4 linked regions of the Drosophila melanogaster genome follow. The protein of the gene in region 4 interacts with the protein of the main gene of each other region in a pairwise test. Each region holds a gene or a part of one and is shown on either strand. Other genes may lie near its edges. The genes, in order: CG15211, cad, CG12679 and CG31140.

Region 1 (10,384 bases), on a different chromosome or scaffold from region 4:
ATTCATTATATACACATTCAATTGGTTTTTTCATTTATACACATATACATTAAAAATTGATAATTTTGAGTAATTGAGGAAAACAATTCGAACCTTTACATACTTACTATAGTCGTTCAAAATAATCGATGTCCAAATGAGATTATACATTAAGACGCTTTTTCTACAACTGCATTATTCACCCACATGAACTGTTTTCCCCATTTGATTTGAATTTGATTTACTTTCATTGGATTCGATTTTGTTATTAACTATTTATTACTATTCCAATTCAATCTTCCGCCGACAGTTTGGCCGCCGATGTGGGCAAGGGCGGCAATCGGGAGTTCAACGGCCTGATCGATTGTCTAATGAAGGTGATCAAGAGTGACGGACCCATCGGTCTGTACCGTGGATTCATCGTGTCGGTGCAGGGCATCGTCATCTACCGAGCAGCATACTTTGGATTCTATGACACTTGCCGCGACTTTCTGCCGAATCCGAAGAGCACACCGTTCTATGTGAGCTGGGCGATTGCCCAGGTGGTCACAACCGTTGCCGGTATTGCCTCCTATCCCTTCGATACTGTGCGTCGCCGCATGATGATGCAGTCTGGCCTGAAGAAGTCCGAGATGGTGTACAAGAACACAGCCCATTGCTGGCTGGTGATTGCCAAGCAGGAGGGCATTGGAGCCTTTTTCAAGGGCGCCCTATCGAACATAATTCGCGGCACGGGCGGTGCTCTGGTTCTCGCCCTTTACGACGAGATGAAGAAGTACTTTTAGCCCCAGTGTGCCGCCGTTTGTGGTGGGCCAATTCGATCGCCAGCAGCAGCAGCAGCAGCCCCGGCCACAGCAAATGTCACACCACGATGGCGTAGCACCAACCGAACACACTGTCCACCTCTTCGTCGAGGAGGACTTGCTCCCACGAGCCCAGTAGTAAATTAATAATTTGATTTGATAGGTCGCCCCACATGGTGGTCGGTCCCTCATTTCAGATTGTGTTCACTTTCGCAGTGGTTGAGAAAATACAAATAATATATTGAACTCAAATCTTTGTTGTGCGCTCTTTGTTTGTTTTCATCATCGCGTGTTTTTTGCTTTTTGGTGCATGTGTGTGTACGGATTAGGGTGGGCCACATCTAACTAGGATCTAATTATCCTCTCAACAAGCTAAGCTAGTCGTTATATTCAACTATATGTGAAGGACAAACAAAAAAAATTTAATTAATTTACGTATATTATTTTGTCTCGATTGAATACATTTCAAAAAAATTACAAAATCATTATATGTACGCCATGAAATGATAAAAGGTTATGTACTATATGGGCTGCCCACCCTACTCGTTTTCGTAGATATGGTCTTGTGCGGGTGGATTTAAGACTTAAACGTTAGTTAGCCATTTAAATAAAAATAACATTAAAAACAGAAAGCCATGTCGCTTTCCATTGTCAATCTGCTGCATACGTTAATTAACAACAAAAAACAAAAGTACAAAAAAAAGAGGCAAAATTACAAGTACTCGATCTGCACTTATTCTGTAAACAATTAGAAATAACTCTAGACTAAGATCCAGTCACTGAGTTGGCTGCACTTAGTGGGTAGCCCCGGACCTGTGGGCCAGGAACAGGAAGTACGTGCCCGCCGCGTAGGCCAGGAAATTGAAGAGTCCAAAGACACCGGCGGCGGTATTCGAACCGGAACCCTTGCCCGTGGCATCCGACCATCTGGCCAGCTGGACGATGAATCCGATGAAGTACAGCAGCGTCAGCACAGCGGTGGTGATCAGCTCCTGTTGGGCAAAACAAAGTAGCAGTTGGGTGGGTTAGTTCATACTAATGATCCAGAGCAGTTAGTTGCCATTTGTCACTCACCGAGAATATCCAGTTGACGGCCACGTTGAGGGCCTCGCGAATGCCCAGGAAATAGGCGGCGATCAGCAGAATGTTGATGATGAACGAGATGACGATGACGAACATGAAGAACGAGGTGGCCGAGGCCAGTGGAGGAGCTGCCAGGGCCATGCAGATGATGCCCAGCACCTGGTGTGTATAAAAAGATGGGTAAATGTGTAAGTGTACAAGGTCGCAGTAGAAGCAATAATATACGAGTAGTTTTAAGATTCAAGCGCCATCTGTCGCATTAAATCGTAATTGTGCAGTTTTATGCAATGTCTATTTAGGGTAAAGTTGAATGCATATTTGAGATGTATAGATTGCATAGCATCTTATATTATTAGTTGTAATACATATATGTATAGTCACCCAGATCGTGATCTTCCTCCAATTGAGAGGCGCCTCTTCAAGGTCGTGATTTCGAATCTGGAGTGAGCATGTCGTGATGTCACCTTCAATTGAATGCACGCCATGAAAAATTAGAGGCTGTGCTCAGAATGTCGCCTTGTTCTCCAGCTAATTAAGCGGTGAATTCAAAGAATGCCACTGCACAGATACATAGATACATATGTACATAGATACATATGTAGCTCAGATTTATTTGGAAATGTGCTTGTAGTAAAATGGCTCAGAAACAATTAGGTACTCCATTTTACTCAACTTAACTTAAGTTTATGTCATATTTCAAACAAACTGAGGTAACAGTATCCCGTATCTATGAATGACTCAGTATATATTACCAATAACTTGTTAATATATGTATACTGAACTATCTGTAAGTCATTTTCGAGAACCTTATCGCATTTCAAGCAAATTCGCAGGGCGATTTCGTGAGTTAGGAACACTAAGATCATAAAGCTGGATGACAGGTGCCGATGATGACACACATTCGTGGTTGTTTTAGGCAATTAAATGGCAATAAGCTTTTGGCGACACAGCAACAAAATAAGAAATCAAACAGGTGTGCGCAGTCAGTCGACTTGAGCATTGTGTTTTTGGCTAAAACAAAAGGTACACGAAAAGTGAAAGCTGAAAGTTGTAGCCCAGGCCAAAAGCGACCTGTTGATAGCAACATCTTGTTGTTGTCCCCTTTGTTTTTTTTTTTGTGTGTGTTTCTTATTTGCTATCTGGTAAACAATTAACTGCACAGCAGCCGCATATCAAAGGTTGATTGAACTGTCAGCGATTTGTTGAGATTTGTTGATCTTGGATCTTGGATTCATGCATTTTCCAAATGGTGTTCGTATTCTTCATTTGACTTATATACTTTTTTTTTTAGCCTCGCACTTGTGATCCACAAATGTTGTGCGTCACTTTTCAAAAATAAAAGAGCCAGAGAGAAATTCGTCTGGGAATTATACGAATTTTATCTTTTCTAAGCATAATTTATGGCGGGCTTTTTATTTTTATTTTTACTTCTGCGTATGCATACATAAGGTATATATAACGACAAGATTGGCATATATATACACATTTGTATGTGTTAATCAGTTCTTATGTGCACGGTTGGAAAGTTCTTATAACCATATACATATAACCATAATCTTTAGTTCCATGGCAACGATCAAATTGCCTTGTGGAGCATGAAAAACTGCGTAGAGAGTTGGGTGCATCTGGGTATATCGATCGGGGCAGCAACATAATTATTTACTTTTCGAGCGAAATTCAATGACGCGAAACGCCACTGAAATGGATCGAGTTCTTGGCCTCCGATTATACGGTCTACGGTTCCTAGCCGCGTCTGCCTCGTCTGAAGTTCAATGGAAGCCACAGAAATTCTAGTGGTCGCACATAAACAACAAGATCGTTAGATTACAAACTTCCAACTACATATGTATAAATAATGTTCTTTCTTCGAAAGCTTAAAGTTTAAACAATACCTGTAAGCTAATATCCTCGCAATGTTTAACAAATATTCCAATTGTGGTGGTACAAATATATATATAGTTCGAAGTTAATGGACAACCATAACTGGATTATCTAATAGAAGGATCAATGCCCTTGAATTGTATACATACATATGTATGCCCTCCCTTTTGTTGGCTAACAATCTGTTAACAGGGCCAAGACGGAGCTTCAAAGATGAGCTCACTTTCCTGAGCGCCGTACACTTAGTCAGCGTCAATTACCTAAAATGTACCCAAGCACACAGTTTGCAAACACACACGTATTTGCATAGCCATGTGCACTTAGTGCAGTCCGTTTCGCAGCTGTAAGGCAAGACGCTAACTGAAACTTATAACTGAAAAGGGATAAGATTTGAGGTTTCAGAAAAAGTGCGCCCATAAGATAGTAGCAATATACAATTTATATTTCCGATAGTTTAAGTTAACTGCTTTCGGCTACAAGCCAAACAGCCTACGTTTATGGCATGCACTGTACATGATGCCACAACGATCGATCGCATTTTCATCAACAAACCGCCAACAAACGCCAGCATCTGTCTAAAGTGACTTTCGGCTCGAATTCCCCAGATCTCTTCGCCTCCCCCGCATTTTTGTGGTTAACAATTTCTTGAATGACACCCCGTATTTGTGTCATAATTTCCGCTTTTGGCTAAAACATTCGTATTAAAATTAAAATCCACGACAATGCTACAATGCCAAACAATAAGAATGCCGTCGGCAGCTTCCAAAATACACGTCTTACGTAATTAGGCTATTATAAAAAAAATATTCTCGAACGGCAGGGACCGCGACCAACAAAACTTAATAATAAATCGTTCTCTTTCCGAATTTGCATATACTCGTAGATATTCCGATGTGTATGTACGTATATATGTATATAGAGCACACTTGGCCATGGAATGCATATATGCTTGGGGCATCGCGTGAATATGTATGGTAAGTAAATTGAGGCAATGCTGGGTCCAAAATGCTAATTGCCAACGATAAGATACGAAAGAAGCGTTATATTTCGGGGGCTTTGTTGTTGTTGTTGTTGTTGTTGGTATGATTTGGGACCACTGGGCGGATGAGTATGTGTAATGGTCCGTGGGCAAATTAACGATCGGCAGTCAGGTGTCAGGAATCGATTGGCTTATCAGCAGGAGCATGGCTACCGAAAATATCGTCGGTCTGCTCCTCTCCGCTCGCAAACAGGTGGTCGCCACATTATCGTCCACTTTGTTCGGATAACGGTGCGTATGAGTAACGAGCGATTAGCTATGGCACTCAATATATTCGCAGAATTGTTCGAAATGAGTCACAATCGGTGAAAACAGTCAAAACTGCAGTCAAATTCGAACTATAGTACCAATAATCTAATATAATTTAGTTAAGCTCAAGAAACAAAAGTCTTAAAATAGATAGCCATGAAAGTGGTCAAGTTTCCCGCCATTTGGCCCAATTTGAATTATTTATTTAACGGGCTTAATACCTATCAATTGGCATTTGGGAAACGAGCAGCTGCAATTACGGCCCTGTTTTTGTGGCAACTCTCAAGTGGAGCACTTTTACATATTTCACACTGCGCTGAGACGACTATCAGCAGACTATCGCTTAAGGGTACCGATAAGATTAGTTGCCACAAAAATATCCCAATCGACAGGCACACCGCTAACCGAAAAAGAAAATTAACTAGCCATTGGTGAAATCAAAGCATATTTGAATGACAAGTATTTGCTTTCCTTTTTTGGTCAGATTAGTATATGAATTGGAAATAAGTCCTACCAGAACATCCGCAAATTACTTCGTCAGCCGTCAGCTAAACTAGCTTAGTCGCCTGATAATAGCCGATTTTCAGAACAGAAAATCAATATATATAAGTTAATAAACGACAGCTTATTGTGACGGTAATCATATCATCGAAGCACCCAGCACTCCTCCCATTTATCCGCTATTGATTTTCTCCGTAACAACTGACGAGCGCTTAATAATGCATTTTTCATGTGGGTCCCAAGCACTTGTCGTTATCCCTTGACCTTGTGCCCACCAAGCGTTGGCCCATTGAGAATAGAGAAATTTTTGCCTGAAAACTTTCTACACCTGAGCAGGTGATCCATCCGAGCGGTAGTTGAGTTACCCCAGTGCCCACTCATATAATTGCGAGTACCTTGTGTTGGCGTCGCATACCGATTGCATCGCCCACACTTTAACTTCATTTTGCTGCGGATTTGTGGGAAAAAAGATAGATCATACATAGCTTCGAATACCAGGCCAAATGCGTTAAGTGTTTAACGTCTGTGGAATACAAGAAGAGGGCTATGAGTTGACCACATGGCCATGGAGCTCACATGTTTGCAGTTCCTACAACTTGTCTACCCCTATCTTATCCGTCGTAAGTCTAATGAGATCCTGACATATGTACACACAAAAGGGGCAAGTGCACAACACACTTGTTGTCGGGCATATTGTATACATATTTGTGTAATTGAGTACACATCGAGGCTCTAGGGTTTCTTAAGTCTCGAGATATCTCGATAAAGAATGGTGGCGGAAGGCAAACTCTAGATAAAACCGTTCAATTTATGACGATAAGAGTGCTATGAGGAATTCTAACTTTTCTCTACAACAATTATCCAACGTATATTTTAATATTTCCCTCTGAAACTTTATGTTTCGAAGGCTCTATCAGTTTCGAGGAAATACGATAACAGCCAAATTCGGAAACTTATGTCTGAATTTAGCATTCCACAAAATAATGTATGTACATTATGGTACTTTTTCAACATAATCGCATTCCTAAGTTCTATTTAAACCGACATTTATGCATATTTTAAATCTAAGAGTTTAGAAACATGTAATGTACATAATTTTGATATGTTTGGAAATTTGGCCCAGTTTTTGGTTTCAGTTTTTAAAAGACTTCTACTCAAGTGGATCGTATTCAATAGTTTCGAAATATCATATGTTGCAATATTAAGTATTAGATTTTCATTTGTTTTATAATGAATTATAAAAATATAGTAGTGATATATCTCAGCTAGTTGTATGTACTCACAAACTCCACAATTTTGATGATGCCCGGTATGGTGCGGAAATAGTCGATGTTGAGGCGAATGGCGCTCCAGAAGCCGCCACCGCTGCCAACGGTCGGGTTCGCTCCACCTGGCGGTCCGTTCGTCGTTGTTGTTGTTGTGCGCTCGATATTGACAACGGTCTCGACCATATTGTTGCTGTTTATAGTTTGGCTTGGCTTAGTTTCAGTTTCAGTTTCAGTTTCAGTTTGGCGGGCAAGTTTACTTTATTAGCTGGGCACAACAACTATTTTTAAACACTTGTCGCGATTTTTGTCACAATAAAATAAGATGAGAAAAATAACCACCGCTTTCTATATGTTCGCTGGTCGATCGGCAGCTACCCTATATATCTATATCTGATGTATATGAACGCGTGTGACGCCCTCGCGCGAGTTACCACCCCACCCCCTAAACCCCCACGCCTCTAATTCTCAAATATATATATAGAGATATATGCCGCGTGTGGTGGGTATATTTGGGTATGTGGTGAAATGTGTGTAGTTTAGTATCTGGTAGTTAACTGTAGCTATATATCCATGAGCTGCGCTGCGATTGCTTTGGCGTTACGTTGCTTTGTCCACGGCGGCCGCTGGTCGACTGAACTGAACTGCGAGCTGAACTTGCCGCCGCTGCAGGCTAACGGTTAACCGCACGCCGCTCCGCTCCACACTAGCGCACTCACGCTCGCTCTCCCACTCCCACTCGGACTTACACTCACATTCGCGCTCTCCCAGTTAGTTAGTTAGTCAGTTGGCTATTTAGTTGCGCGCGCCCTTTGACGACGCCCCTGCAACGCCCTAAATAGAACCACCCCCCACCCCCCTTAGTTGCCACTCCCCGCTGCTTGTGGGGCAAACTAGTTTGTTGCGCCTGCGCCGCTAACTGTTATAATCGGCACAGTGGGCCAGATTGACCGTATTGTGTGATTGTGTTCATTCCAAAATAAAAGTAAAACTATTAAATAAATACAGTTGTCTAGATTTCTCAATAAAACATTTACATTTTATTAAAACCATCCGTACAAAATATGCAATATATATTATTAAATCATGTAGACAACGCGGCGTATGAGTAATATTTTCTTTTTTTTTTAGTTTTCTTCAAGAACCCACAAATTCCCGTTTGGCTAGCACTGCATTTCGCCATCTCTTTCTGATTCGCTCGCTGGATCGGCGTCCCTCTCTCTCTTCCCAACGCCCACTGTGCGTCGCAACTGGTTTAACGTTCTGATTCGACTTTTATGGCTGCCGCTGCAGCACGGCCGTGGGTCGCCTCTGATCGGAATTTCAAAACAGTGGAGCGTGTTGTGGATGTTGGGGCAACAGTGGGTGGCATGTGTGGTGCACAGTGGTCACACACGGCACAATTCGTGGTTGAAATGTGTGAGGGACTTTAAAAATTTTATAAGAAACCGATTGGTTTGCAAGTGAAACAATAAGCGGTGTTTTCATTTTTTTGGTTAGCTTTTATTTGCGTGCAATACAAACTATGACAAAATTTGCCTAATAAATAGAGCCTAATTTTTGGGCCGCTCGATGAGCCTAAAGACTACGAGTTGCGGATCAAATGGATTGATTTGGACAAGGACATGGACCGGACATAAGGCTAGACAGTACAGATTTATACTATGCGATCGGATATCGTATACAATTTTGGTTCAGCTGCTCGGAAATCGCATTCGAGTTCGCGTTAAACATGTGTGTGTGTGTGTGGTGTGTGTGTGTGGTGTGTGTGTGGGTGGGTGTGTGTGTGCATAGAATTCAGTTATATTGCTTATATAAATAACTCTGCTGCCTTGCAAACATAAGGAATTATTTTTGGATCACAATAAAATTATAAAAACATATATCTATATATATATATATGTATATACATATAGTATATAACGAAGGTAATAACGCAAAACCAATATGCAATGCACAGGTTTTGGAACCACCAAGCATTGGGGCACTGGGAAGGACTAGATAACAAGAGCAGCACGGTCTGCAAAATATAACTAAGCGCGGAGACTAACAGCTAACAGACCACAGGAGTATTTCAAGTACAAAACATTATCGGCCGCAGCGGCGATCAGCTCAGAGCGTCTCCCTGGTGTCAAGCTCAACCAATGGCGGCACTGGCTCCAACTCCGCACTCTGGCTTCTGCTCCTACTTAGGCTGGGACTGGGGTTGCTCCTTGAACTTGGACTGGTGTGGTGGCTTGCGTCTGCACTGATATTACTTGGCTGATTTTGTTCATGGTTGTTATGCGGCGACGAGGTTGCCGGGGTCAGAGGAGCCGGAAGTGCTGGCGTGCCGGGCGGGGAGAGTGCTGGCGGAGTGAGTGGGGCAACGGCCACTTCCCTTGTCTGTGGCGGCCAGTGGATGGACCTTAAAACGCTTTGGCTGCTGCTGGAGGAAGTGGAGGGACTTTCAGCATGGCCTGAAGCCAACGAGGATCCCGAGGTAGAGGCAATATTGTCATCGTCAGTCTTGGCCGTCTTCTTCTCCTTCTCCCTCTTCTCGCGCTCCTTCTCCATGTCGGCTATCTTCTTTAAGTAGTTTTTGTCCTGGGTCGGACATTCGAGGTGGACGCAGTGGAAGATCTAAGAGCAAGGAGAGCATTAGCTTATCGGACATGTTTTGTGGCGCTGCACTGCTACGTACCTCATTCGCTGTGTTGCGTGTGCCCACAATGCGGATATAGACCACTGGACGCGGAGTAAAGTGAAAGTTCTGCCAGGAGCGGGTCCTGTCGTTGCGGCGGTCCACGACCATTTGCCATTCCTTGCGGTTCGTCGAAATTTCGATGTAGAAGCTGTAGGTGCGATCATCGCAGTCCCACAGCAACAGCCTCATTGAGCCCAAATAGTAGGGTTGGCCCAAACGGACGACGATCTCGCCGCTGCCCAATTGGTGGCAAGTATATCCCGAGTCCCAGTCGTAGCGCACATAATCGCCGTTGATAAGCGCGTTGCGGGTGCGACTCACGCCGTCCGTCACAATGGCGCTCATCTCTACGGTGGCCACGTTCGTCTTGGGCGCCACAAAATGGTTAACTAAACGCGGCACCTTGGCCGTGTGCATGGCTTCCAGACCCACAACATGGAATACCTATATATTAATGGAAAGGGAAAAAGTTAAAGAATGGGGAAAGTTTGAAGAGATCACTGCTGACTTACCCGGTTTACAGTGTTCTGGGTGCCCACCAGTCGAATGAATCTGACGGGTCGTGCTTCGAAGTATAAGTATTGCCAGGAGCGGCAGTGGTAGTCGCTGTAGTCGACCACGCGATCCCAATGCTGCTGGTCGCCGGACACCTCAACGTAGTAGGAGTACGCCCGGCTGTCTCTGTCCCAGAGCAGCATGCGAATGTGATTGATCATGCAGAACGTGCCCAATTCGACCACAATGCCCGCATCTTTGCTGTCCGTAATGCAGTGGCGCGTATACCCGTTCTCCATGTCATAGGTGGTCACATCTCCATCCAGCAGCGCGTCGCGACACTCTCCCTGGATGCAGCGCGACAAAAACGTCTCCGCGGCCACGTTTTCCTCCGGCCAGAGCG
Region 2 (7,154 bases), on a different chromosome or scaffold from region 4:
CGTAGATCAGTCGCAGCCAAAAATCGACTTCATTTTTGACCCGTGCAGGAGCGGAGGAGGAAACTTTGGACGGGTGAACGGGAAGGGTAAATGTCATCGGCAAACAGCGATAGTGCTGATAAGGAAACCGAACCAAACATATTTCCACTGCAGCTAGTGGCCATTTTCGATGGCTTATCTTGGGACCGGGAACGGTACTGGTACTCGGAGCGGGACCCAGACCAAAATCGGACCACAAAGGTATCCCATCCGCGCCGGTGGAGCAGTACAACACTTTTCAGATGCGTCGGGAAAGCAATATAAATCCAAGCCCGCCATATATTCCTTCTCTCTCTCTCTCTCTCTCTCTTTTTCGATTATTTATGTGGCTAGATATAAATTTTCTGTGCATATTGACACATTAAATCTCAATGTGTCAGGTGGCATTAGTTTTTATGTCCCAACACGGGCAATGCTGAAAATCTACAGACAATCCCAGTAAGAACTCCTTGGGCCCCTAGATACATTTGGTTCTCCGGAGAAATTATAACGACAATAAATTACGGACAGCTAATAAGCAAAAATGTATTGCTAAGTGCGTTCAATGCAATGAGATGTTGGCCAATCGAAGGATCAAAGAATGAGGAGCCTTATTTGGGCAACATTGGATAACTGATACAATTGGTTGGATACTTTAGCCAACTTTGGCAAACCAGAATTGTTGGAACTATCCTTTTCTGAACTATGGACACTTAAATTTCTTGCCGTTTAATAATGATTGCATAGATTTGATCGTAAATGTCGCTATTTAGTTTTTATTGGAAGTAATACTAATTTTTATTGGTTTACGACCCTATATTGTTTTAATCAATATGCCCGTCGCAAACGCAGCGGAATCGCTTATCAACAACGCTTTTGACGTTTTAGATAACACGCAAAGAACTCTTTTTTTTTTTTTTTTTGTGGCCACGTTTCCATATCACTCGGCACATTATTGAAGCAACAGAAAATAGAACTCGCAGCCCCATGGGTTGGGTGGGGTTTTCAGGACTTATTGACAGGGCGGGCGTTTATTTGATTCCCCACGCTAGCTAATCTAATCGAAAAACCCGCCCGAACCACCAGCCATTGAAACAAAAGTACACGGCATCTGCATCCAGCGACAATCGTGGTTGCCGTTTTATTGCCACACCCCGAAAGCTGAAGTGGGCCTTCGACGTGCCCTGCCGCCACATGCCGCCACATGCCGCGCAGACAACGGAAAATGGACCTTTTATAATTCTATCAAAAATCACGAAGTGTTAGTCACAGCCCCCCTCTTCTCTTCTGTTGGAAAAGGCAGATTACTAATTATTACTCGATTTGGCGAGACCATCAATTCAAAGAAAATGCCAGAGAGATAATACCTGAGCAAAGTGTTGGCAAAAGGTGCTGCTGATCGCTCATAGTGGCTGTAAATAATATCTAACTTTATTTTTATATAATATTTATTCTTACTTAAATATTTGTGCTTTTTAGGCAAATGAAATACGGCAAGAATTACAATCAGTCGCGCGTCAGAAAGGTGACATTCAGACAGCGGAGGCTAAAGGGGGTTTTGAATAATAATAAATAAGGCAAACTTGAGTCGCCTTGTCGGCTTGATCAGCTGGATTAGCGGCCATAAACGCTAATTGCATGCCAACAGATTTTATGGGCTTAATGGATATCGGCGTTATTGTCGATATCGTCGATATCGTCGTCTTCATTTTCCCCTTCTTGACATGCGCCCGGGTCATAAATCGTGAACAAATGTGTGAGTGGTTTATTCCTTCTCATGTTTGAGATCGCTGCACTGCCATCTGAATTGCCTTTGCTTGTTTTTCCAGAGGTGTAGGAAAACACAGCAAACAAAACGCAAGAAATCCACATAATCACAGAAAATTTGCATGAACTGAGAGAAGAGAGTCGAATTGGGTATTATTCACTTATTATTCAGAATATTCACTATTTTTAGAAAATAGTGAAACCTTCAATTAGACACTCCACATAATGCTAATTGCTGTGAAATAGGTTCCGAACTCCCTAACTTTCCTAAGCCTTTACAGTCCAGTCCTCTACTCTGATGGACTTTCCATCAAATGCTGTCTGGTTATTGGTAAGTTGATCAAACCATTTTCAAATGCTTATAGTTGTTAAGTTGATTTACGATACAAAATTAGTCAATGGAATCGGAATCGAGACGGAGACAGAGTGGAGCAAACAAACAGAAACACTCATGTGGACGGTGAACACGGGGTGGCCATAAATCAAGGCGTCGGATCGGGGATCTCGCGACCCCAACTGAATATCATAAAAGTGAAGCTTGAACAGAATTTGATTTTTATGAGCTAATTGGCCATTTGGACTTGGATGCGCGCCAGGCAAACGGATTCTTATAAAAGCCCATATATGTACCGTGAGAGATGGACAGGGAAAAGCGCGAACAGCACGAGCTTGGCGGGAAGACAATGCAGTGCATTATGTGCTGGGCAATATGGAATCTTCGGGTTCGGAATGTAGCCAGGCGGATGCGGGAGAAACCCAAGCGCAGGGTACGCGGAATCGAAGGTCAGTGGAATGACTAAGTAGCTGAATACACAAAAATTCGGGTAATCGAGGTCTTTCGGACTAAAAGCCTTCGGTGAGTAAGATCTTATTTCACATTCGATTAAAAAAAAAAAACTCATACAAGCTAGTGACAATGGCAAGCATAGACCTTAACTTTGCAGTAAAAGCAGGTTATTAGCCTTACTCATAAAGTTATGAAGTAACCGATCATACCCCCTCATAAAACACTAAATCTGTATTTAATATATTCTTGGGTCTCTAAGGACTCACCTGGTTGTGGTTGTGCTGGATAGGCGGGCTTCTTCATCCAGTCGAAGTATGGCGGCTTCGATGGCGATGTCCTGTTGTTGTTGCTCACCGAATTGTTATTGTTGTTGTTGTTATGGGTGGATGGGCTATTGTTGTTGTTGTTGTTGTTGTTGTTGTTGTTGGCGACGGCACTCAAATGGTGTGCCAAGTGATGATGCGGCGACGAGGCAGAAGTCGGCGCCCCCGGGCTAGAGATTTCCGAGCCCGAAACGGTAATCGGTGGCGACGGCAGACCTTCGGCGATGTGCTGCTGATGGTTGGGTGGTGCGGAACCTGGTCCTCCATCGGTGGCCCCGCCAACACCACCGCCACCGCCTGCTCCTCCGACGCCGATGCTGCTGTTGGTCTCGTTGAGCTGGGGCGCACCCGGTGCACCACCGCTACTGCTGCTCCCGGAACTGGCGGAACTGCTGGAGGCATGGGCGTGATGATGGTGGTGCTGCTGCATCAGCTGGTGGGCCGACGTGGGCACATTCTGAACGAAGTTATCCGCCGTGCTCGAGGCGGGTGAGTGCCACTCCCCGGCAGAGGCCGCCGCCGCCGAGTGGAACATGTGATGGGAGTTGTAGTACATCTGGTGGGCAGCGGCCGCGTGGTGGGCGGCATGCGAGGAGTCCACATCGCCCAGGAACTGGTGGTTCGGCGGCGTGTGGTGGTAGTTGGGCGTCCAGTTCCATGGCTGGCCCGCCGCTGAGGCATAGGCCAAATTGGCGGCACTGTGCTTTTGTGTGTAGGGCAGTGTGTTGTAGTAGTGCGAAACCATTTTGAGGTTAGATTAGGTGCGCTTTCTCCGAAGATAGTCCCAGTGCTCGGTCCGGTGTCCAATAATCCGGCGTTAATCTCTAAGTCTTATCACTTTGATGGCCAATATGTTTTAGTTGCACATTTTCTGGAGTTTCAGTTTGGGTTATAATGGATATATTTTGCTTTGTCAATCTTTACAGTTATCACTGGCTGGTGATGTGTTTTTTGGGAGCACAGTAACATACGACCGAGATATCGATAATATTTCGAAACGCTATTTTTCAGCACTCACTCACGAGATGGATTTTTGTTTTGCAGGGCTAATCTACTAATTTGAAATGTTATTCCGTGCGTGGCGACGTCAACTCAGTATGCAGGTCGAACACGTACTGAAACGTAGAGCAAGACTCGACTGATAAAAAACTCAAAGCAGTGGAAAATCAGATAAACAGGCAGAGAGGCTCAAAAAAAACAACCACCGCAGTCGGCACTCACTAGTTGTCTCTTTCTAGCGCACGAGCAGTGCCTTTACTTGGGCGTTTTTAACCCTCATTTCCGTTGCTCGGTCGAAATTCAAGATGGCCTGAGTGCTTGACTACCGCTATCTCCGTCTGTCTGGTGCTCCGTCTCTTTCGCACCGGTCTGCGATGGCTGGCAGGCAGGTGGCCACGCCCCATTGAGCCAGGTATGCAGTTTGTCGTAATATCTTGGCCAAGAAAACCCCTTTTCCTTTATGGCCCGCTTTCGATTTGTATGTACTTTAATTGCAATTGCCGTTGGCTAATTAAGTAATTGCGGAGATGCGTGTGTATTATGCAATTAGTGGCTGTAAAATTATGTTGCCACGGTCGTAATAGTCGCGATATATGTACCTCTATCTGGGGAATAATCAATGTTTTATCCTCCGGATTTTATTCTCCATATCCATATACCGTGTTTGATCTGCACACACTTGATGTCCAGACTTTTGGTGTTTGCCAAGCAATCGCTGTTTATATGGGCGCCTCGATATTGTCAAAGCACTATTGTTCGGTTCTAGTTGTAAAGCTAATGCCATAATTGACATGTAAGCAGCGATAAAAATTCGCAGGGAACTCAAATATAGCGGAAGAAGTCTGGCATTGATAAGGTGCAAGATGTGATACAAGGGGCTTATGTAAAAAAAAAAGATGGTACTAAAAATGAGGTGATCTTTTGACGGATCTATCATTTAATGTAAATCGAAAGTTTCCAGCTTCATTACCAAAAATATGACTAATCAATTTAAATTCCCATGAGAACTTATTTTCGATCAAACTTCGCTGGAAGTTTAACAAATGGGTGGAATTGAAATATCGATTATTATTTCATAACGACTTTAGCAAAAGTGTTACCCATTTCGTGAAGCAAAAGGCAAAATTGGCCCAATACGGTAAAGAATTAATAATATCAATAAACCCATTTACAAAACCTCCTCACTAACATAAAAACTAATAATTGAACGCAATTTGAATAATAATAAATAAATTGATTTATTTATAATTTATGACAGACACGCGTGTGATCATAAGATTGCAAACGCGCCTAATTATTATAATATATTGGCAATATAACAAATTCCAAATATTCATATTGTGGCATTAATTATAAAACTATACATGTAATATACCCTAAGATTAGAATGTGAAATCATTGTCCAATTATTTTCAAACTATCTGACTATAATTTTTCCTTACACAAAGGAATATAATATATTCATTGGAATAAGGTATAGTTGGTTAAACATATTCCTGCCTCACAAATTCCAGGTCAGCTAACACCATTCTTATTAATTTTTCGCAAGAATTTCGATACCACACAGCTACTCCCAATTGTAATCCCTAAAAAGAACGCTAAGCTCGCGCCGATTGAGTAATCCCGAGATTCCAGAAATCCTCTCTAAATCTGTAAAAAATAAATTCATTGATTGCCGCGATGTTCGATGCTCGGTATGGGATCGTAAAACTGCAAACTGCAAATGTCGCGTCAAATAATTAGAAGTGAATGCAGCTGACACAATGGAGGATAACCGACATATCCCCGAAAAGGACTCGGCGGAACACGGGAACAGAAGCACACCGGGCAGTTGGCCTCGCGAGGGAGGTACTCAATACTCACTTATTAACGCTGAACTACCAAAAACTGGTTCGGGTTCGTTTGCAAACAAAAAACCCCTTAATGTCCGTAAGACAAAACATGTTGTAAAACAATCGAAGGCCCGCGCACAAAAGGTGATTTTATGATTACGCGAACGCGATCGCTTTCGCCATAACCATCGCCATTGCGACCCAAAGACCAGAATACAGAAACCAGGATGCGATCGTAGAGGTCGCACGGGAACGAGGACACCAAACAAGGCCTGTAAGGTGGTGCTGATGCGTTGACCTGCCCATCGATCGGCCCATAAAATTCACACAACAATTAGGCAGCCACAGCCCAGATTTGTTTTTTCCTCTTTTTCGCAAACCGTCAACAATTCGGTGGAATTTACTGCGTGGGCTGGGCCTGGAAGGGTACGACCCGTGGGCTCTATAAGGCTGGGCTCCTCGTCTCATCCCAGGCACGGGCAAGTCATGTAACACGCCGTTACCTGGAAGTCATTAGGGGCGCACAAAAAGGCTAATCCCTAAGTGATCTATGTAAACATATGGTAACTCCCCCTGGGCGGCAAATTCGAGATGAATCATGAATTTTGGTCGTACAAACGCAAGATTTGATAGAAGATTGTAATATTTTTTCATCAAATAGAAAGTGTTGATCAATTACAAACATAATACATAATATTATAATATACAAACGTTCCCCGACGATTAGTTGAATCGAAAGCAGAGAATCCATTTCGAATTGCCCTTCCGGCAATGAAAGATTTATTTCAATCTGTAAAACACTCTAATGCATCTCTATCTGGCCATCGTAAATTAGAATCTGTCCCCGCCATTGACATTAACAACCTGCTACGAATTCAATGGTATTTATACATATTCCCTCAATTATGTTAATAAATCCATAAAGAAAGCAAAGCAAGCGCCATAGCCCATAAAGCAGACTCCGAAATAAAACTCAAGGGGCAATCAGACCATTACAGATATGTCCAAGTTCCAGTCCCGATCTAACAACCTATATCTGTGGCTTGGTGGAGCGTCGACGCCAGACGGATTTGAGTGTGGATGGATGGATATGTATGGATGGTAGACGTATCATTGTCGTGCGGCATTCGCTGTTTGTCGGTTCGTTTAACGTTTTTGAGAGTTTTACGGCCGTTTGCCGGGCCAAACCCCTCCAGAAACCCCTTCCGCCCACCCGCAACCCCCAGCCGATCCCGCAGCAAGTGCATTTTGCGTTGTACGAGCCGAGCAACCGCCTCCTTCGCCGTCGCAATCAAGCACCTTTATGGGTGCCGCGACATTGGCGATAAAATATCTTTGTTAATAAAACAAATTAGAGTGGAGAAGAACAACAAAAGGCGGCAAGTCACACATGGGTGGAAAGCCCAAATTGCTTTCGGATTCGCAGCC
Region 3 (5,807 bases), on a different chromosome or scaffold from region 4:
CATTGTAATTGCAGAAGCAAAATCTGTTCTGTTACACATTCAGGCATCATCATACCTTAACTCGCCGATATGTATGTACATATATATTATTTACTGCCTAACGTTCTTCAGACAAATGGTTATGCAAAGCGAAGATATTTGGGTATGTTTTGTGGACGCAAGCTTAAAGTGGCACCCGCATTTCTTACCTTGCACCTACCCCACTCCCTTTGCGACCCACGCGGCGTATGAGGAATGCGAAATTGCTCATACCGCCCGTGGTCCCGCATCTGAGCAACTGGGTGACAGTTGATTTGCCTGTCGGCAATGGCAGTTTGGAGCCCAGAGTCCGGAGTCCGGAGTCCGTCGTCCGGAGCACTACAGGCGGCACTGCGGGCACTGCAATTACGGCGACTGGAGATTTTTCTAAGAAAACCGCACAAGGCGACGACGGCGACTGTGGCGCCAGCATTCCAAAGTAAATTACAAACAAAAATGTTGCAACGAAAACGAAAACGGAATCGCACGCGGGCCCCAAAAGCGGAAACCACAACAGCCAACAAAAATGTAAACAAGGGCGCAGAGTCGTTGAGGGGAATTTCTTCGTTCTTCATTCTGTGGCGGAAAAAACAAAGATCCAAAAGAAAAGGGCAGAAAAAAATCAAATTGAAAATGAAATGCAGGAGTGTGGCGGTTCAAGAGCTTTGGCGGCCAAGCGACTGACGTCGTCTCTCAGTCTTTCAGTCCTCCAGTCGCCAAGGAGTGAACATCCATCCACCACCAGCACCGCCCCAAGGAAGCGGGCCACACCACCCCGCTTCCGTGGCCTTGCCTTGCCTTGCCTTGCTTATGCAATTTGGTATGTGTTTCCCAAGAAACCTTTGTTGCATTATTGCCGCAATTTGCTGAAGTGGTGACGTGAGAGCCATCACAGTGCTGCGTCCACGAATATTGCCCCGTCCCTTTCCTTCTCTGCCCTCCTGAGTCCCTCGTCCTGAGACCCCAGTCCTTCGTCCCTCGTCCGTCGTCCGTCGTCCTTCGGCCCTTGAACCGCGTCTTTTTCGCGCTGCCCCTTCAGCCAGACAGCGAACAAATAACAACTAAGTTGGCAATTTGAAGTCGCGCGAGTGAGTGAGGCTAGTTAGCCGCAGCACACCGAAGTCTGTATACCCTTGACATGGTTTATGGCTTATATAGTAGTGCTATATTGCTTATTCCTTTCTCATTGTAGATTTGTAATTCATATCCCCAAACTACAAATCCCTAGTGCCTTGTATTCAATGATAGTTGGCTCAACCAATTTCAAATGCTGATTCATCATCTTGGCTTTATTTCGCGAACCGATCAAATTTAAGTTTTAGCAATTAGCCCTCAGTGAGTGCGTAGGTCATAAGGGCCAGGATGCCGGTGTTTCCCAGAGTCTCTACAACGTTGCTAAGGCCCTCGTTGCAGCTATCGACAATTGCACCGCCGTATCTGGCGAGGAGCGCGGTGGCAGCCACACCGAAGTAGATATGGTTGCCGTCCTTGATGGCCAGATACAACGTGGAGCCGATGTTGCCCAACAGAGCGAGGTCCATCAGCGTCTCCGTGGAGCTGTCCCAGTCCTCGCTGATCTTGCCGATCATGTCGTAGAACAGTGGAATCAACGACAGGCCGTGCACCAGCGCCACTCCCGACTGATCGGATACCAGGTAGAACTCGATGTTCGCCAGTGGCAGCGGGATAACCTCCAGTATGATGGCTGAGATCATAAAGGTGCGTCCGCACTCGTCGGGCTCGTTGGCAAAGGAGCGAACCACGCCCAGCACTCCGTGGACCAGGCTGAAGGATGCCGCCAGGAAGGCATACGGATGGTCCGCCGGGGTCAGTGAGGTCATCGTGTAAATGCAGGCCAAGATCAGCAGCAGATTGACCAGTGCCCCCACCACATGCATTTTCGGCGCTTCTCTTCGTTCCTTCGAGAATTCTATCGATTCTGTCAGTCTGGTATCACGATATGCGATTTCACTTATTTGTTACGAACACAGGAACTAAAAATTTTGAAAGTTGCTACCTTGAGACTGGGGTCTGGAATGACTGAATCCAAATGACTCCCACTGGCAGAACATTGAAGACCGAGTCCAGGCCAACTCTGTTTAATCGATTTATCAACTCAGTTTTGCTAGATAAATGTTTTGAGATTTAAAATGGCCATATCATAAGCAATACACAAATGTATCGGGTTCTCGTTCTTATTCAAATACTTATACCTTTTACCTTTTACGACATACAACATGAGAATTAAAATGGCTACAAGGACTAACAATCCTCATTATGAAGTATGCTTGCATACCCTTCCTTCGTTGCAATCATTCGTTGTCTAATCCAAACCCACTTCAAATCCCGAAGTTCCTGAACCAAATATAACCAATAACCAAGCCAGTGCAGCCAGTATGCCAAGGGGACAAAGGCTGCTCATCGCCAAAGTGGCTAACGTTGGCCACCTCAGATTACGACCAGGGATGGATGTCGGCAGGGTCACTGAGTCACTCCCGGCTGAGTGGTTAGGGAGGCAGCATCAGAACATCGATCACAACACCTGAACGAACGCAGTATATAAATAACCAATCTGGATTTTGATCCGCACAAAGGACGGGAGTGGTAACCCCCAAAATCCCGAGCGCCCTTTTCGGGGCTCCAACGCTTCAATAAAACTGCAAAGTGCCAATTACAAAAATAACAAGTTAGCCCCAAAACTTATGTTGGCTTTCCGACTTGCCGTTGTTTCTTTTGCTTTTTTCCTTTATTTGCCCCGATGCATTATTAAGTTTATACCAAGAAATTTCCCGCACTGCATTGGACGTGTGTGTGTGGTTGTGTGTGTGTGAGAGAGAGTGGCATTTAGCTGGCAAGGACATTTTCATGGTTTTCCAGTCAGAGAACTGCAAGGGTGGCACTTTTTTACCACTCGACTCACACCCTACAATTTTGTGTGCGGGTGCTACTCGCCACGCACATCGCGGGTACTTACAAACACACAGTATAAATCTGAACATGCAGACAAGACACCCCGTTGTGTGCGCACCCGAATCAATACGGTGTTTTGCGTCGCGGGTGCCGCTCACACAGTGCCTAAAAAGGGATGAGTGAGAAAAACACTTGTGGGTATACCGTTAAACACATGGGTGTTTCCAAAAATACTCGGGTGTTTCCAAAAATACTCGAGTGGTCTCGTAGGTAGTCGAGTCAAATGGCGCCATACATAATGATTGTTGAGTTCTTGTGTCTTTGGTCCAGTGTCTCGGCTGTTAATTGCCCCTTTTTTGTTTTTTACGATGCAATTACTAGCTTGTTAGGATTCAGTATTATTTGGAAGCCAAAGGAAAAGGTCACAATAATGGCAGAAGCGGCTGATTTCGTTAAAAATAAAATTAACAATGGAACATACTCAGTTGCCAATAAACATAAAGGAAAAAGTGTTATTTGGAGCATTTTATGTGACATTTTAAAGGAAGATGAAACTGTTCTGGACGGATGGCTGTTCTGCAGGCAATGCCAGAAAGTGCTCAAATTTTTACACAAAAACACCTCCAATTTATCCCGCCATAAATGTTGTCTAACATTAAGACGACCAACGGAATTAAAAATTGTTTCGGAAAACGACAAGAAAGTAGCTATTGAAAAATGCACCCAATGGGTTGTCCAAGATTGTCGGCCGTTTTCTGCAGTAACCGGAGCCGGATTTAAAAATTTGGTGAAGTTTTTCCTACAAATCGGCGCTATCTATGGGGAACAGGTAGACGTCGATGACTTACTACCTGATCCAACAACATTAAGTCCTTATATTTAATAGATACTTTTTAAGCCCACTATGTTTTTATTATTTAGATTGAGACATTAAAAAACGTAAAAATCAACAAATGCCGTCTTTAATTGCAATTACTTTATGTGTTTGAAATGGGAGGCACCCATTGAGTCCATCAAAGAGCAAAGACATGAGCACAAAAATTTTCTTGGGTATTCCCTTTTACCCTTCATTTCTTATACCCGTCACGCTTCCACCCATACAAATTTTAGGCGTACAAAAAATGACCAGAGAACTGCAGCCCGCATACAAAAAATGACCTGCGGCCGATCGTTGACTGTGCGTCCACTCACCCATACGGCTCTTGCGCAGCAGGCCTCGGGTGGTTTTTTTACTCGTAACAAAAACACAACGTCGGTAAAACACTCGAGTATTTTGTGTTGCCGCAAGTAGGGTGTCAAAAAAAACGGGGTGCCTAGAGTACCGAGTGTTTATCGGGTGGACGTAGAGTGCGAGTGGCGGGCTGCAGTTCTCTGTTTCCAGTTCCGTTTCGACAGCAACTTTTTCGTAGCATACTTTTGCCGGCGCATTGATTGGCCCCGAGCATTCGTTGGACTGGCAGCAGGAGTCAACTAGCAGCTAACTTGATCCATCTGCAGGCCTCCAGCCAAAGTGCAGGATAGTACTGAATGGATAGTCCTGAATGGATAGTCCTGAATGGATGGTCCTGGATGGTCCTGGGTGCTCCTTGGGTGGTCAACTCAAATTGACTGCAGCTGGGTCCACAACACGAAGAACTTTTGCCATCGCACCCCAAAAACAATGCCGACCAGTGCCAACTTGTATTGCCGGTGGTTTAAGTTCGGGGGTTCGGGTTTTGGTGTTCTAGGGTTGGGATTAGGAAAAGGGGTAGGGAGAAATATTGACGGGGCCAAACTGTGGCATGACCAACGAAAATAATATGAAATAAATTCCAATAGAGCAGCCGAAGAAGAATGAGAAGTTGAGTGGGCTCGAGCCGGGGCCAATTGGGGATTGGGATTGGCCGAGATGAGTGGCTGGACAGGACCTGGAGCAACTGAGCTGGGGGGGTGTGTGGTGGTGTGGAGGCTTTTGGGGTTAGGCTTTAAGAGCGGACTGCAAAAGGACCGGCGAACAACAAATCCGTACAAATTGAATAAGAACTCAATCTTTGCTACTGTGCGAACAACTTTCTTGGGCGGCCAGCAGGACGAAGAGTCCTGTGAACAAGGCGGAATGATAAAAAAACACAAGCACACACCCAAGATGCGGAAAAACAGAAAGTACAAACGCAGTAGTGGAAATGGTTCGCCATGGAGGCAACTCTCTCCGGACTCAGGAATACTCCCTATTGATGTTGTCCTGATGTAAGTCAAATTCATATTGTTGTCGGATTTTAAATATGCCTTAAAAAATACCTTTAAAAGAACTTTATACATTACATGCAAAAATATACCCTCTTTAAGCGTTATTCGAATTGAAAATCACGAAAGACTTATTTCTTTAGACTTGACACAAGGCAATTGAACACGGCCGAAAAGTGCACAATTGATGGGTATTAAAGGGAATTGAATTGAAATTCCTTGGCAATTGTTTGTGTATCATTATGGTCATCATCAGTGCCCACGACTTTGTACTGAGTGTGTTTGATTGTGCCCGCTGTTATTATTATGGCTATCGATGCTCCCCGATGGATGGATGGGCTTGGCTTTAAAGCCGAGCCAACTTCGTATCGCCGGCACGTAGCCATAACCTAACTCAAGATCGGACTGCTTTAAGGTCGCGGGCTTGGGTGATTTCGGCATGGGTTCGGGCGGATTCAGGTGGCTTTCTAGGTGGGTATGGAGCCAGCACCCATCGATTGATTTAGCATTTGGGGTGTTCGGCGTTTGGCGTTTGGCACTCGGCACTTTGGCGGCTTTGTCGGCCTGTCGACGCACGCGGCACTATTAATTATCATGTTAAAATGTAATTAATTAAAGATGTCGTCAACGTGCGTTTGCACATAACTTTCAATGAA
Region 4 (7,492 bases):
AGAGCCACAAATCCCGAGAACAAAATTACACAAATAAATACAGAGGAAAAGCGAAGAATATTCATCATGATGCCAGGCGCCTAACACACTTCCCATTGGGAGAGTCTGTTGCCTCAGTTCGGTGGATTCCGTATCCGATTTGGTGCTCCTGCCGCGATTCATTTCGGTCCGAATCGTACCGTGCTCTGTTTCATAGATTTCCATGGCAATGGCACATAGTACATACATATAGACGAGCCCATACATATCTACACAGCGAATCGGAGCCGTCTATGACGTCGTTGGCGCTCCGCTCACGTCACGGCGGACACGGCCAACAGCCGCACAATTTGGAAAAGTTCAAACGCGCACACTTATCGGCCGCAAATAGCACGATGATGCCGCCCCTATGCCAATGCTACTACACACCAGATCTAGATGCTGCCACTGTCGGAGCACATCGACAATCTATACAATCTATACGATCTACACGATCCGTACAATCTACACAAATCGTAGATGACCCATTGGTCATGTGGCGATGACGTCGGGTCTGCCGATCACTCTGCACGAGGAGAACTTGTTTAGTTTCACAGGGAAAACGCAATTGTCGGACGAGGCACAGACCAATTGCTTTATTTTCGGTTCGGATAATCTACATTACTTTATTATTTTATCAATAGCAAACCTTTTCTGATAAATGTCAAGATATACATTCACCCAATTAAGTTATTAAATCTTTTTACTGATGCTTTGAACACTTCACATATACTATCCAAAATAATAGTAATCATTTCATGATAAGATTCCTATATTTCGCTATTCTGTGCATGTTTATGCCACCCACTACTGCCTCATCCTCATCGACATCATCAGCGGCCGCATTTTCATTCCAAGTTTATGGCAATTTAAAAAGTATTTTCAAAACTAGACGAAATGTATTTTTACATCTGCCGCTGGCGTTGAAGATGTTCGATGATTTGCGTGCTGCGTTTTCTCGGTTCTGTTTAGTGCTCATTAATTACAACTTATTTCTATTGCGGCCGTTGAGACTGAATTGAGAACTGATGGACGAAAGATGTAGTTTCATATAGAAAATTCAGTTTTAACGATTATCTTGAAGGAGATAATCCAATGTAAGATATGCCTTTCTGATCAAATTGCTTACGCAATAAATATGAATAAAAAAATGTGGGATATCCTGTGATCTCATTGAAAATATTTAAAGTACTTGTACTAGCTCGGTGCTTACCTTCGCAGATATATCCCTGCTGGATGAGGCCCCAGAGCAGATCCGAGCAGTGGTGACAGTATGTTGGCTTATGAAATGTCTTCTTCACGAATGAATGCCCACCATCCGCCATTTTGTTTGCCTGTGTCCGCAGCCCGCCCCACTTCCTGTCCTTCTGCTTCCGGTCTATCCTCCTGCGCCTCCTTGTGCCTCCTTATGCCCCGTTGCCTTATGCGTAGTGGGTTTTTTGTGCGTTGTCCTGCTGGAGGATGCTGTTGCAGCTGCAGTTGCTGTTGCGCTTGCAGCGGCAAAGGTCTCTCGATGTTGCAGTTATATGAGCAGTATTCGCGGCTGCTGCGAGTGCAGTATGTGTTGCAGTTGCAATATCGCCTGCTGCTGTGTATATGGGCTATTTCGAAGTGGGATTCTTGCGGTTGGGCAATTTAGGCCGCTGCTGCCGGTGCGGGCGTCGACGCCAGCTGAGCCAGCGCTGCCGTACCGACCGAGGGCGTTCGATTGGCGTGGGCGTGGCAGGACTGCTCCTTCTGATCCTGCTGCTCCTTCTGCTGCTGTTGCTGCTCCTGGTGCTGCTGGTACTGCTGGTGCTTTTCCGACTTTTCCTGTTGCTGCTGACAAAAGCGATGCGATAGTGACGACGGCGAAAGTGACGGCGACGACGGCTGCATTTTCATCCATTGGTCAGGTAGCGGCTCCCTTATCCGGACATTTGCTTGTCGGGATCGGTGTTTTTCCTCGCTTTGAACTTTATTTATCCTTACTAGTTTCTATATACATATTGGCTATGTATCATATTTGCTTTGATTCATATTCATGCATCTTTGGTTTGGTTAAGCGTTTTCGTTTATAACTTTCTTTTGGTGGTGAGTTTTTAACTGTTAATTATTTACAATTTCTGGCGCTGCACTAAACAAAATAAATTTGATAATTGCTTGTTAGAATTTATGTGTGCCATTTGAAATAAATAAATTCCAATTGAATTTTGTATATAGCACTGCACACACAGTCGCGGACACACACGTAGGCACACTTCACTCGGCGGGCGGTCTTCACTTTACTACTACCGAAAACGAACAGTCGCAGCAGCAGCAGCAGCTCGGAAAATGTTTTTCTTCGACTTCGCTCGTTCCTTTGCTTTTCCACTTTCCGCTTTTCTGCGCTGATACGTGGGCGCCGCACACCCCAAAAGAAAAAAACAGCAGAGCCAAAAAATGAAAGGAAAACGTTTCCCGATAATAAAATCCACAAGAGCGGGAGTTTCCACAGGGAAATGCGAGAGAGAGAGAGAGAAAGCTAGAAAGAGAGCGAGAAATGGGGCTGCGCGAGAGAGAAGGCACGCGTCATGCGTGGTGAGTTGGGTAAAAAAGTTCCCAGTATTCTTGGAGCATCATAAAAAAGTAGTAGACATCAATATAATAATAGAAGTGGCAAAAATATGATATCAACAGCGTGTACCGCAGGGAAAAGGAGAAAGGGAACCATAGGGAAAAGGAGAAAGAGAGAGTGGCACAGAAAGCGAGAGAGGGAGCTAGAGCAAACTGCATTGCTTCAATTTCTCCCACCCAAAGCGATTCTATCAATTTCCATAGCTGCGGCGCCCTCAAGTATGCAACATGTTCTGCGACGAACCAATTACCACCGCCACCCACTTTCCCAGCACCACCCCCTCCCAGCCAAAGGCCGCCCACCGCCAGCGGGTATGGCCAAGGACAATCCAGTCAAATATTATATCATACAGGTCCTAATAATAGACGGAAACAAAGGTAACGACACTTGAAGTTTTCAACTTGATGACAATAAACGATAGCTAACGGAAGGCGCACAAATCCGCATTGTGTGTATACGCAAAGTTAAGGTCGGCATAATGGCCCTCAAGCACAAGGATCTTGGTCCTTATTTAGTGTATATGACATGTTTTTAGCATTGATTTTACATCGAATTATGTCCTAAGCTCATAATTCTATAACTATCTATTGTGACAACAAGATATGAGTTTCCTATTGTTTAAAACCCTCAAATTTTAGTTCGATATTCGATCCTATCGAATATTGATATTAACGCATCGTTTGTGTGCGCAGAAAAGCACCTACACGAAATTATAGTAGTTATGATGACTTAAAGCAGATTATAGATGGAATCAAGGAATATCTATAAAACTGGAATCCACATACGCAGTTACTTTCTATAAAAAAAAGTTGTTAACCCTTGAAGTAGAAGTACTGCGAACTTGAGAAATGAGTTGTGAACTTGGACTTGACGGTACTATTATTTGCACCGCAACTGTGAGTTTGGAGCCAGCCTGACGACGTGGAATGTCCAGGACCCGTTTCCCGTGTCCATATATCCTGGCCACCAGGCGATGTCCTGGCGACATGCGCACTCCGGAACCCACCACACTCGCTCGCGCGAACTCAACTCCACCACGACGGAGCGTTTCAAAGAAAGTGGCCAAGTTTAAGGATAAATCACAACGAGCAATATTTTTGCAACAAATGCGTTGAACGGGCGGCAATTTGGGGGTTGGGTGATGAAAACTTTGCGGCTTTGCTTTTCTTAGGGAAATTATTGTTTTGTTTTGGGCTGGGAGAGGCGCAGAAGCAGAAAAAACGGAAAATTATGGATGCTAATGGGGGGCCCAAAAAAGCGAGATATATAGATTTCAGAGGCTGTGTATACACACACACTCTACAACTGTAGACAAAGCAGCCGTACTTCGTACCCGTAGTGGCGCCCACCCAGCCCACTGACGCCCCCACCCCTTTCCCCCTCTGGACTTGCCACCCACTTTTCCCACCCAATGCTGCGCGCTTCGCTCTTTTCGGGCCGCATGAGCAAATCGCAATAGATAGAGAATTTTTTTCTTTCTTTCTTTTGCTGGCGCGGCTTGATTCCTTGCCACCACATCTATATGTATGTATATATATATATGTCTGATTGGTATATATATGCGAATATATATGTATCTGGACGGAGTGCGTGTGGCCTTGTCTTTTTCCATTTTCATTGCTAATCACACGAAGGAGTTAATTTGTTAAAACTTTGGCTTCGGATGGGAAAGTGGGGCCTGGAAAACTCTTGGTACTTGGCACATATGACAACGTAATTTTCACGCGCACACACACACTCGCGATTTTGGAGAGAGAAATTTTATGTACCATACATTTTTGAAGCTGCAAAATTTTGCACATTCGATTTTCACACTGCCACTAATGCTGCCTGCTACTGCTGCTGCTGGCGCTGCTGCTTTTTCCTTCGTTTTTCTTTTCTAGCCGCACTTTCGAATTTTTTTTCCTTCACCGGATGGAAAATTTTCACACGCACAGCAATCGAGTTAAAGCGAGTTTTTCGCAAGTTTTCATCGCGATTTCCCCCGAGTTTTCCACGCGTTTTATGCACTTTTTCGCTGCGAGTGTGTGAGAATTTTCCTGTGTGCTGGCTGTGTGAAAATGGAAATCCAGTGAAAATCCGCAACCGTTACGTACGGAAGAGCACACCTAGCTGCTGTGTGTGCTCCGCTGAAGACGATGGTGCGCTCTGCGGACGGGTCTGCAACTTTCTCGCGGCGCAGCGCCTTTATCGCTGCCTTCGCCGCTGCTCCGCCTGGCGCTCTCGCTGCGTCCCGCTCGCACACGCCGTGGGGCCAATCGCGCCCTCTCGCTCGACGCTGAGTGTGTTGAGTTCGCCGAATTCCTGTGTGCGTGCGTGCCCAACAACAAACAGGGGGAAATGTTGGGGAGCTCCCGTTAGGGAGAGAGCCAGGTCGCTCTCTATCTCTCTCGTTCGCAGTCAGGATGCTCTCTGGCGACCCCCCCTCCCCAAATAAAAATGAAATCAACAATTTGTTGGTCGGCGAGCTGCCAACTTGGCCCCAAAATAAATGTGGCCAAGCTAAGAGAGGAAATTGGCCCAAAGAACGACCATTATTTTAAATTAAGGCTTAATTGAAGGTTAGAAATGTAGGTTTTTTGAAAAAAATGAGTTTTACATTCAATATTAAAATCAGTAAGAAAATGCATTTTCTTATATTTTATAATTTAAGTTAGTAAAATCTCATAAAAACGAACTTTTCAAAAACCATTGCCTACTTTCTTGTGCTTATTCCGCGTCATAACCATGACGTACTATTGTCCCAACAGAAAAGAGTAGTACTGAAATATAAAAACTCTCACGCTCGATACCATCTTTATTTGCAGCAAAGAATGCATAAAGTAAACAGAGTTTTGATTGGTTACTTTGGATACAGCAATTTTTATATATTTATAGGGCTTTTAACTTACAACTATAGAGTTGAGCACACCGTCGATTAATCGCATCGCTTTACTTTGCTTATCATTAAGTTAATCTTTACAAATATGAACGTGTGTGAGCAACCGATATTGATGCTTTTTTGTGAAATTAAATGTATTGCAAATTGCATTTGCCAAGCGAAATTAGGAATAGGTTTAACAGCACTTCTATACACAATGTTTTTTATGCTGACACAGGGTGGTTAAATTACAATAGAACCGGTATACTTTTGGGTTACGTTAAATACACATACAATTAAGGCGACTTTAAATGGGTTCAATATAGATAATGCCTTTCTGGCGTTACTTTTGCATAGAGCCAACTTAGCCCAGGCCGTGATCGTCGAAGAAACTCTGCGGGGTCTCATCCTGGAAAGGGAGAATGCTTAGCTTCAGTTACATGTTACTATACTTTACAGCGCTTGGGGTAAAAGGAAACCAAATAAAAGTATCGATACTGGGGGCTAACTATGAAAAAGACTATGAAAAAGGGTGGTATATAGTAGCAACTAAAAACGAAAGGACACCAAACGGGTGCGCTAAGCCAGACATATAGGTAGATAGACAGTTTAGAGGGAGTGGAGCTCAGAGATCAGATCAGTGGAGGTGGAACAATGTGGGCGTCAAGAGTTTAGAGCAGTCAAATTGGTCAGTCACAACAACAGCAAAGACAACAATCAAAACTAAACGTTTAACAAAGACACTAAAAAGAAAACTGAGGTTCACCAGGTCTTACCATTTTCATATAGCATACGAGTACAATTAGGATTTTTTTTTCAAAAATACTTGGTTTTTATTTTAACTTGTTTTTCTCAGTTACAAAACACAGAAAATTTGGCTAAAACGTACAACACACATACATAAACATATATATATATATATATACTTGTAGATATAGATAAACTAGATTTTTTTATTCGGTTATTATTACAATTTTCAATTATATATCGTTCTCATTTAATCAACATTAAAGCTTACATGTTTCTATTGTAAGAATAGTATTGCATATATTTCCCCACTAAATTAGTTATTGCCCATTTGGTGATTGATTGGAATGATCTTTCGATTATAAAATGTAGATAGGAAGAGGAATATTAATTCAGTTCAGGAACCCCAGGTGGAACTACGTGAGGTTGGCTTGTTTTGCATGAACTTTTCTGAATCTATTGTGTCTGTGCGTGAAATTTACGAGATAGAGTGTATGAAAAACCGCATACCAGATGCTCTGATGTTACTATATAGTATTATTGCTTTTTGGAGCCTCACGCTGCTTGGCGTCTTCTTGCTTATAATTTTTTTTTCAGCGCTTCAGTGCTGTACAACAGCCAAATCACACACTAGTGTTGAGGAGTGGATGGAGCAGTGCTGTAAAGTGCCAAGTGCAGCACACGTTATCGCTGGGGTGTAACTGTGTGTGTTATTGTGTCGGGGTGTGCGTGTAATATCAACTACATAATTTCTAGGGTGTTCTAGTTCTTTAGAGGAGTCCAATGTCTCTTAAAGTGCCCTCAACGGCTTCGTCCTGGAGTACAGAGAATAAGAACAATAAGAACGAGAAGAGTAGAAGGAAAGAGAGTAGTAGTGGTAGTAAGAGTAGTAGGTGTATGTGTAAGTAGAATGTGTCCAAAAAAGAAACCAATTTCGATCTTGTTTTGCTTTTCTTTCATGTACGGCACAACTTGGAAACACGAAATGCATATTATATGGATGAACATCACAGCGCAGCGCGGGGAAGGCAGGGAAATAGAAGCTGGGCAATATACACATATATATACAGCTGGACGAAGGATTGACTGATCTGACCTATCGACTCTCCACTAACTCTTTGCAGATCGGGAATATAACTTTATGTTCTTTACACTGTTTCTTTGGGATGGGTTTTCTTTTCTTCTTGGTATTTATTTATTGTTTTCATTGATTAGTTGAGATACTCATTGAAGTCCTGTGGTGGTTGTTCGTGGTGGTAGTAGTTGTGTTA

The links.
Region 1: the proteins of CG31140 (region 4) and CG15211 interact in a two-hybrid assay, tested with the Drosophila melanogaster proteins (one large-scale study listed by BioGRID).
Region 2: the proteins of CG31140 (region 4) and cad interact in a two-hybrid assay, tested with the Drosophila melanogaster proteins (one large-scale study listed by BioGRID).
Region 3: the proteins of CG31140 (region 4) and CG12679 interact in a two-hybrid assay, tested with the Drosophila melanogaster proteins (one large-scale study listed by BioGRID).

Annotation. Positions count from the first base shown.
Region 1 is NC_004354.4:10,769,601-10,779,984, reverse strand, and holds CG15211 (uncharacterized protein), read right to left. Parts: upstream 7,445-10,384; 5' UTR 7,359-7,444; intron 7,218-7,358; exon of another isoform or gene 7,188-7,217; 5' UTR 6,987-7,187; coding exon 6,819-6,986; intron 2,025-6,818; coding exon 1,857-2,024; intron 1,775-1,856; coding exon 1,577-1,774; 3' UTR 1,004-1,576; downstream 1-1,003. Other genes in the region: Ant2 (adenine nucleotide translocase 2), read left to right, coding at 290-764; BTBD9 (BTB (POZ) domain containing 9), read right to left, coding at 8,913-9,422, 9,484-9,930, 9,999-10,384.
Region 2 is NT_033779.5:20,767,594-20,774,747, reverse strand, and holds the start of cad (caudal), read right to left. Parts: upstream 4,018-7,154; 5' UTR 3,641-4,017; coding exon 2,839-3,640; intron 1-2,838. UniProt on the Drosophila melanogaster protein: Caudal (cad) is one of a number of transcription factors controlling segmentation of the embryo.
Region 3 is NC_004354.4:20,374,477-20,380,283, forward strand, and holds CG12679 (uncharacterized protein), read right to left. Parts: upstream 2,047-5,807; 5' UTR 1,917-2,046; coding exon 1,344-1,916; 3' UTR 1,288-1,343; downstream 1-1,287.
Region 4 is NT_033777.3:23,960,442-23,967,933, reverse strand, and holds the start of CG31140 (uncharacterized protein), read right to left. Parts: upstream 4,755-7,492; 5' UTR 4,711-4,754; exon of another isoform or gene 4,701-4,710; intron 2,135-4,700; exon of another isoform or gene 2,130-2,134; 5' UTR 1,344-2,129; coding exon 1,232-1,343; intron 1-1,231. Other genes in the region: AP-1sigma (adaptor protein complex 1, sigma subunit), read right to left, coding at 6,992-7,036.